2 linked regions of the Arabidopsis thaliana genome follow. The protein of the gene in region 2 interacts with the protein of the main gene of each other region in a pairwise test. Each region holds a gene or a part of one and is shown on either strand. Other genes may lie near its edges. The genes, in order: CB5-D and RTH.

Evidence for each region.
Region 1: the proteins of RTH (region 2) and CB5-D interact in a two-hybrid assay, tested with the Arabidopsis thaliana proteins (one study listed by BioGRID).

What each region holds. Positions count from the first base shown.
Region 1 is NC_003076.8:19,788,247-19,791,960, forward strand, and holds CB5-D (cytochrome B5), read right to left. Parts: upstream 2,127-3,714; 5' UTR 1,935-2,126; coding exon 1,848-1,934; exon of another isoform or gene 1,413-1,847; coding exon 1,346-1,412; intron 1,272-1,345; coding exon 1,003-1,271; 3' UTR 821-1,002; downstream 1-820. Other genes in the region: AT5G48800 (Phototropic-responsive NPH3 family protein), read left to right, coding at 1-141, 212-757. UniProt on the Arabidopsis thaliana protein: Membrane bound hemoprotein which function as an electron carrier for several membrane bound oxygenases, including fatty acid desaturases.
Region 2 is NC_003074.8:18,951,477-18,955,982, forward strand, and holds RTH (RTE1-homolog), read right to left. Parts: upstream 2,326-4,506; 5' UTR 2,166-2,325; exon of another isoform or gene 1,619-2,165; 5' UTR 1,585-1,618; coding exon 1,318-1,584; intron 1,234-1,317; coding exon 805-1,233; 3' UTR 597-804; downstream 1-596. Other genes in the region: TRX1 (thioredoxin H-type 1), read right to left, coding at 390-479; AT3G51050 (FG-GAP repeat-containing protein), read left to right, coding at 2,547-2,609, 2,866-3,024, 3,295-3,546, 3,650-3,769, 3,850-3,930, 4,114-4,209, 4,326-4,421.

The sequences.
Region 1 (3,714 bases), on a different chromosome or scaffold from region 2:
CTTGTAGACAGTTATCTTGCTGAGATAGCTCCCGATGCTAACCTTGACCTTTCTAAGTTCTTGCTTATCGCAGAAGCCTTACCGCCTCATGCTCGCACCCTTCACGATGGTTTATACCGCGCCATTGATCTCTATCTTAAGGTATGTTGCTACAAGAAAATTTTACTTACTCTTGTTGTGACTTGATACTTATTAGGTTTTATGCTCTTAGGCACATCAAGGGTTATCAGATTCAGACAAGAAGAAACTATCAAAACTTATTGACTTCCAGAAACTCTCACAAGAAGCTGGAGCACACGCTGCACAAAACGAGCGGCTTCCTCTGCAATCCATAGTTCAAGTTCTCTACTTTGAGCAACTCAAGCTTCGAAGCTCCTTGTGCTCTTCTTACTCAGACGAAGAGCCAAAGCCAAAGCAGCAACAACAGCAGTCATGGAGAATCAATAGCGGAGCTCTCAGTGCAACAATGTCCCCCAAAGACAACTATGCGTCTCTGAGGAGAGAAAACCGAGAACTGAAGCTCGAGTTAGCTAGGTTGAGAATGAGACTCAACGACCTAGAGAAAGAACATATATGTATGAAGAGAGATATGCAGAGGTCTCATTCGCGCAAATTCATGAGCAGTTTCTCAAAGAAAATGGGGAAACTTAGCTTCTTTGGGCATAGCTCTTCAAGAGGATCAAGCTCTCCATCAAAGCAGTCTTTCAGAACAGATTCAAAGGTACTGATGGAGAGAACTTGCGCAAGCACAGATTAGCTCAGTGTTTATCATTTTCTCTTACCTGTTGCTGCTTTTTAAGTGAGACTTGAGACTGGTGTGTGAGTGATATTGTAAATGGATTTGATTGATATAAGACAACAAAGGTAGATGGCTTAAAAATCAAAGGTCTATCAGTTGATTGGAATAGAGAATATAATGATGTCTTACAAGACAAACAGAGGTAGAGACAGAGTTTAACCACGTCGTACACAAGCAATTCACTTAGGCCACAATTCAATCTTTCAAGAAGAAGGAGCCTTGGTCTTAGTGTAGTACCGAATGCCGAAAGCCAAGCCTAAGATTAGAAGTGGAACAAGGAACTGAAGGAGCTTAATAACAAAATCCGAGCTCTTATCCTGAGTAGCCACGGCTTTCGTCGACGTAGGAGGCACAAACTTAGCTTTAACCGGCACAGTAGCTGTGTCAATATCACCCACATAGTACTCATCTAGCATGGCTTTCGCAGTCGAACTATGTCCCACATCCTCGAAATCATCGGTCGCATCTTTCCCTGAATACCAACAACACATTCTTGTTAACATAAACATGAACTAACAAACAGAGAAAGTGATCTCTATATGTTACCTGTAGAAGTCAAGATAACCTCATCACCACCAGGATGATCATCCAAGAACTTTGTCACATCATAAACCTATATATAACCATCAAAATGAAACACACAAAAAATGTAAACTTTGTCATATAAGTCCCTAATTCCACACAATCAGAGACCTAGATTAAGTGGGTTATCAAAAGTTCATACATCAGAACATACATGAACTACATGAACCTTACTAGCTTTAACTACAGATACAAGATCACACAGAGACATCTTAAGCAGCACCAACTATCACATTCAATTATAAAGACGTAAGTTTTTAGCAATTTCTCTGTGATTTAGACTTAGAAAAGTAACATTAATCTAGCAAATCAGATCAGATCTATCCCCAAACTTGTTACTACATAACTCTAGATTTATAAATCCAAGTCAACACAACTCAAGAATTTCGGATCTCACGAAGATAAGATGCAAAATCTAAGGGAAAACGGAAAATCGAATGAGAAACTGGGATCGGAGATGTAGGACCTTGCCGTCGATGACGATCCAACAATCCTTGGCGCTACTGTGCTGAGAAACCTCGGACAAGGTGAAAACTTTTCCGTCTCCGCCCATCTCCGATGATCTGCTGGTGACTGGTGAGAGTTGAGAAGAGGAAGAGTATTACTATTATTTGGGAATCTGTGAGTTTGGGATCTTACACCAACCGCTTTTTTGGTCTACTTAAGTTGTGTATGTCTGATCTCATCTATTGATGGGGTCGGAAATTAATCAGTGGCCAATAATCAGCAGTTAATCAAAGATTCCGTTTTCTTATATTATTTAAATGAATTTATTTTATATATTTAATTAATGTAGAAACTAAAACAATTTATAATGTTACAAAGAAAAAATGTTATAAAAAATCTTAGTATTGTATGTTTTTCCTTAAAATAAAATAAATGTTTTTAGTAATTCATGTTAGCTGATAATGTTTCTACTAAAATCATGTTAGCTTATTGATTTCCATGATGCTTATAATGTTTATACTAAAATCATGTTAGCTTTATGTACATCAATTTAGATAAAATCCAAACGTTTGGTGGTTTCGCCCTCTTAGACGTATGATCAATCGTGTAGACGGCTAGATGTTAGGGTAGACCATTCTAATTGGGCCCAACCATTCACTCGGTCCACAAGATCCGGATCTTTTCTTCAGTTGTCGATAGTATTTAGTTTTTTCATGAACTATAGCAATATGGACACGATGATTCATGGGAGGAAAGATATGGGGTTGTCTTCTTTAAAACTTGATGGCGCTTAAGATAAAAACAGTCAAAGAGACTTGTCGGAAGGCCAGTGTAACGAAAGCAGTGTGGTTTTAGTTATAGGCTAAATTGAATATGAATAATTGATCATAGGCCCAGTTTGTTGGTTTATGATTTTAGAAAGAATTGATAAGAGAAGGAGAATGTTTTGAGGTTGGAACTCTCCGACAGATAAATATGATGGGAAGAATTATTCACGGTCGTATATTTTGACAAGGGACCAACGGAAAGGAGAGCAGTTGCATGCATCACTCGTCTTTACACTATTTAGAAAGAAAATGAATCTTGTTTAGTGATTCATTTTAAAAAGTTTTTCTATGTGAACCTCATTCGCTAGAAGTAGTTTAAATGTATTTGCCTTAATCCGATCTTAGAACTGGATATTTGATATTTCTGTAATCAGTTCGAATGTATCTAACTATAGGGCTAAAACACCGACTGTATAGTTCTTTCGACATATATAGAGTGTGTACTTTGCTTAATGGAACCATAGGCATGTTAAACGAGAGCATTTAATGTTGAAATTCACTTCTTTTTTCAATGCATGTTTTGACTCACATTGCAAGGCCTATGGTTGGTGTTCAACGAGAGAAAGAAACTATACATGACAAGTTAAAGACATTTATTTTGAAGGACTAACCCAAAAGGAGAACGAAAGAGAGCTAGAGAAGAAGAAACAAAAAGACAAAAAGGCTTTCGTAATCAGTGCTCTTCCTTTTTGGCTTTTTACTACCAAATAGTTTAAAAGAGTCAAACAAAACATCGAACAAGCTGAATTCAGATACCCCATTGGTCACACAGTTGATGTAAGCGAATCTATATGTCCCAAAAAACATGATTTTTATAGTCAGTGAGCCCGTGATCAAACAAGCACCCGTGTACATACGTACACCATGTCCATATGTATAAATGTATAATATAATGAATGTATCTGAACGTTTCATGCATTCACTTTTTCACTTTTAGAGATTAAAGAAAAACATAGAACAATGATTGGGTTCGAGATAAGATTTCACAGTTTCATCACACTGGTTTTGCCAATTTCCAAGAAATGTAAAAAAAAAGATAAAACAACAGAGATCTTCTCA
Region 2 (4,506 bases):
CAATCATGAATCATTTTCATTGAAAAACCATTTACACTAAAAACATATCATATCGTAAGAATTGTGAACATTACATCTATCTTCAGCGTAAACATTTTTCTAGGGATCCCTTAGTTTCATAGAATTATCAACATGACTCGTAATATAAGTCATTATGATCTCCTACCAATCCTAGGATCTAATCTATGGTAATGCAGATCCAAGAATTGTCATAAAATTCAAACATGAATTCATACAAAAAAGAATCATATCATTACATTGCTTAAGTATGAGAGATCAAAGACTCTATTTAAAAACGCAACCCAAAACAAACCAAATCAAGAATAATAACAAATCCATATCTCATCAAAAACAAAATGAAATCAAGAAATTTGGGAGAAGAAGATTACAAGAGTTTTGGATTCATTAGCCTTCTGAAGCTGCTCGTTCCATGTCTCAACGGTGTGGCAGGCGATCACTTGTCCTTCTTCCGAAGCCATCTTCTCTCTTTTTCTTCTCTGTTCTGTTTCTTCTCCTCTTGTGTTTTTTTTTTTTCAATTACTTAGCATGCGCGTCACCTACCAATCCCAATTTTGCCCGTCAATAGTTTTTCTCTTCTACTTTATTCGACGCGTGATTTTGTTTCCCATAATTACACCCACCAATTGCTACTTTCCTTCTTTACCCAAATCATAAATATTCACACTTTTACTCCTCAAAGTTTTACTTGTAACAAATTAACCACACACAAAGCAAAGTTGTAAATATCCATCGTAAAAAGTAAAAAACATTTTGTAGACATCATTTGTACATTATGATTCAAATCTACAGCTGAATCAGTTTCTTGAAACAATACGTTCCAATGATGAACCACCCGGTAAGCAAAACCACTAGAATCGAGCAGGAGGCAATGAAAGTCCAACCACCGAGTAAGATTCCTATAGTGTAGACTATGAGTGGAGGCAACAAGGACTTTACTATAGCCGTTTTGTTCACCCAACGTCCCTTGAAAAGCACTAGTGTCGCGAGATTCACCACGTTCCATCCGCCTGACTTTATAGATAGACGGTTCAGGTTGTTGGCTACAAAGGAATGACAGTTGCATGTGAGTATGTTATATGAGTGATGTTGGTACTCTTGCGTGCTTTTTCTCAGTGCATCATCCCATGTTGGCTCTTTCTCATGACTATCTTCTTCTTGCTCATATCTCCTCTCACCATTGAACATACCAGAACTGGAAGAACGAGATGACTCCTGATTCAAATCCAAGGCCAATATGAATAAATTGTTACTTTGTATCAAGGTTGAAAATGAAAGCCGGCATCTTGCAAACGTTACCATTTCTTTGTTGATTTGAATATATCGAGAAACAGCTCCAAATGCAAAATTATCAACACAGACAAAATTAGGTCCTGCAAAGTCGAGGATGACACCGTCTTCTCTGCAGATACCGACGTGGCCGATGAAGGGAACCAGCCATGAAATGAAGGGAAGAGGTGTCCAAACAATGCAGCATGGAAACCGGTCTCTTTTGGGATCAATTTTCATAGGATCCGATAATCCGATCATCATGCGATGTTCTGAATCTGTTGCTGTCTCTCCCATATCCAAATCCAGTTGAGCTCAATTATTTGATTCTCTGTAAGCAAAAAACAACACGTCCAGTGATCCCCATGTAAGTAAGATTCAATAAAGCACTTGGATTTGATATGTAAAAGTTGTTCTTAATACTCGAATAGCTGATGCATATCATTTACATCGAACCCAAAACATAAATGCATATCATCCCATCATGGAAGTCCGAGTTGGGACTGAGCCTTCCAGAAGCGATAAGCAGCTCCTTCTAGCCCTGTGCTGCTTTGGATTTTTGCATATACCAAGCTACTACCAATTCATTGATTACTGGATAAACTTGAAACAAGAGTCGTCTAATTGATATTCAATCAACACATTGTGCTAAAACACTACGACCACTACATAGAAAAGCTAAGTAAACAATTCTCGTAGTTCTACGAATCGCGAGTCTTAAACACTAAACGATGAATCCATACGAACATGGCGAACGAGGGATCCAGAAAACGCCATTAAAGATACATAATCCAACTAGCAACGAGTCAACATCAAAGCATCTTCATAGACATTGATTCCGAAACTTTTTCATAAAGAATAGATCAAAGCATACATACCAGTTCAAGCGACCAGGAAGACGATTAATCGGATCTAATACAATCTTCAATCACTGCCTTTTTCCTGGGAAATTTTTGTTTCTCTCTCGGCCCCAATTTTACGAACGATGACACTAAAGAACGTGTTTGGCTCCTTGTTTAAACTAATCCTCTCTCGGATATCTTCACCGTTTCAAGGATAGTAGTATAAACGACATAACGTTCGGTCAAAGAGAACAAAAACGTCAGGATGTTATTCTATTAAACGTCTGATATATCTATACGGCGTAGTTTTGAAGTTGTCGACTATTCTTCATCGTTCTCTCTGCTCTGGTAAGGAGATTGCTGCTACCTACTGATGCAAATCTGCCATTGATACATCTGCTTGCGGTTAGGGCAAAGATGAGGAAACGCGATTTGGCTATTTTGATGCTCTCTGGATTTGCTATATTCTTCACTCTTCAGGTGATTTTACACACTAATCGTCTTCTTATTCTTTCTTAGTTCAATCAAATTGTAGCTGAACATCTAGAATCATTGATCGATCTGTTACTTGAGAAAGCTTTGAATTTTCCTTTGTGGGTAGAACTTAGACTGCTAATTCGATCCGTAAGTAGTGTCATGTTAGCGAATTTGTAGAATTTCCAGATGGAACCAATGGATTCAATTTTCTTATTAATGGTGCGTTTACTTGATATGTGGGACTTGATGACTTTTGCAGCACGAGGGTGATTTTGCGTTCAAAGAAGCATGGTTTCATTTGTATGATGAATACCCAGTCAAATACGAAGCTGATCGTCTCCCACCACCTATTGTAGCTGATCTTAATGGTGATGGAAAGAAGGAGGTTCTCGTTGCTACTAATGATGCCAAAATTCAGGTATCATATGAAATTTTCTAACTTTTGTAGGTAAAAACATTTCTGATTTCGATCTTTCTCGCCAATTTTTATAGAGTCTATCTGGCTATTTCGGTCGTTAGAACGAATGATTGCAGCTTATAGTTCAGTGCTTATGCATTGCTCTTTATTGTTTTAGAGCCTTTTTGTCGAACTAATGATGTGAGGCTTGGTGATTATGCATTTCTCTTCTATGGTTTGCTGTTCTGTGTTGGATTAAGTTCTGAAACTGTTGATGTTTTGTTGGATTAGGTTCTGGAGCCTCATTCCAGGCGTGTGGATGAAGGTTTTAGTGAAGCACGTGTTCTTGCGGAAATCACTCTTTTGCCTGACAAGATCCGTGTTGCGTCAGGGAGACGTGCTGTGGCCATGGCCACAGGTGTTATTGATAGGTACTATAAAAATGGAACTCCCCAGAAGCAGGTTGTGGTCGTTGTTACCTCAGGTTGGTCTGTGCTCTGCTTTGATCACAACCTGAAAAAGCTGTGGGAAACGAATCTGCAGGTTTTTATCTTCTTCGTTCTTTGTCTAACGTTCTGCATAAAAGTTTGTCTTGGTTCAGTAGTATTGATTCTCCTTTTGCTTACCTTTGTTGGTGGAATGACAGGAGGATTTCCCACATAATGCACACCATAGAGAGATAGCAATTTCGATAAGCAATTACACATTGAAGCATGGTGATACGGGTTTGGTTATTGTTGGTGGACGGATGGAGATGCAGCCATATGTATGTAGGATGAAAAATTCCTCTGTTGATTTCCTATGTATCTTCCATATGTTACCAATAGATTATTCTTTTCGTTTTAGAATCACATGGACCCATTTGAGGAACTTGGCATGACAGCACAAAATGCTGATCAACACAGAAGAAGTGCTACTGAGAATCAGGTACGACTATATGATAGTTTCCTTGGACTGTTTCGTAGCTGTGTATATTTATAGTTTCCTTATACATTTTCTCTAGAACTGAACAATTCTGAAGAAAGAGCTATTCGTTTGTAGTTATACATGTTCCAATGTGCATAAGAACTTTGTTTGGACAGTTTAGAAGAATTTTAAGCTTCCTTTCAGGCCTCTGAAGATTCTGGAGCCATAAACTTGCGTCACTTTTCTGTCTATGCATTTGCTGGCAAGACTGGCCTTCTTCGATGGAGTAAAAAGACTGATGTCAGTTATTTATTCTTTTCTGCTCACTTCTTTATCTGCATATTCCTTAACTACATTCGTACCTGCAACAAATTTGGTGGTCAGATTGATAGATTTTTTTCGTTCTTCTCATCTAGGATGTTGAAGCTCACACCTCAGATGCATCACAATTAATTCCACAACACAATTACAAGCTTGATGTGCATGCTCTAAATAGCCGTCACCCAGGAGAGGTAAAATTAATTCGTTCTCCATTGATTATTGAGCGAAATAGTTAACCTTTCCTTCGTTCTTTCGGAAGAGATTTCTATTGCACTA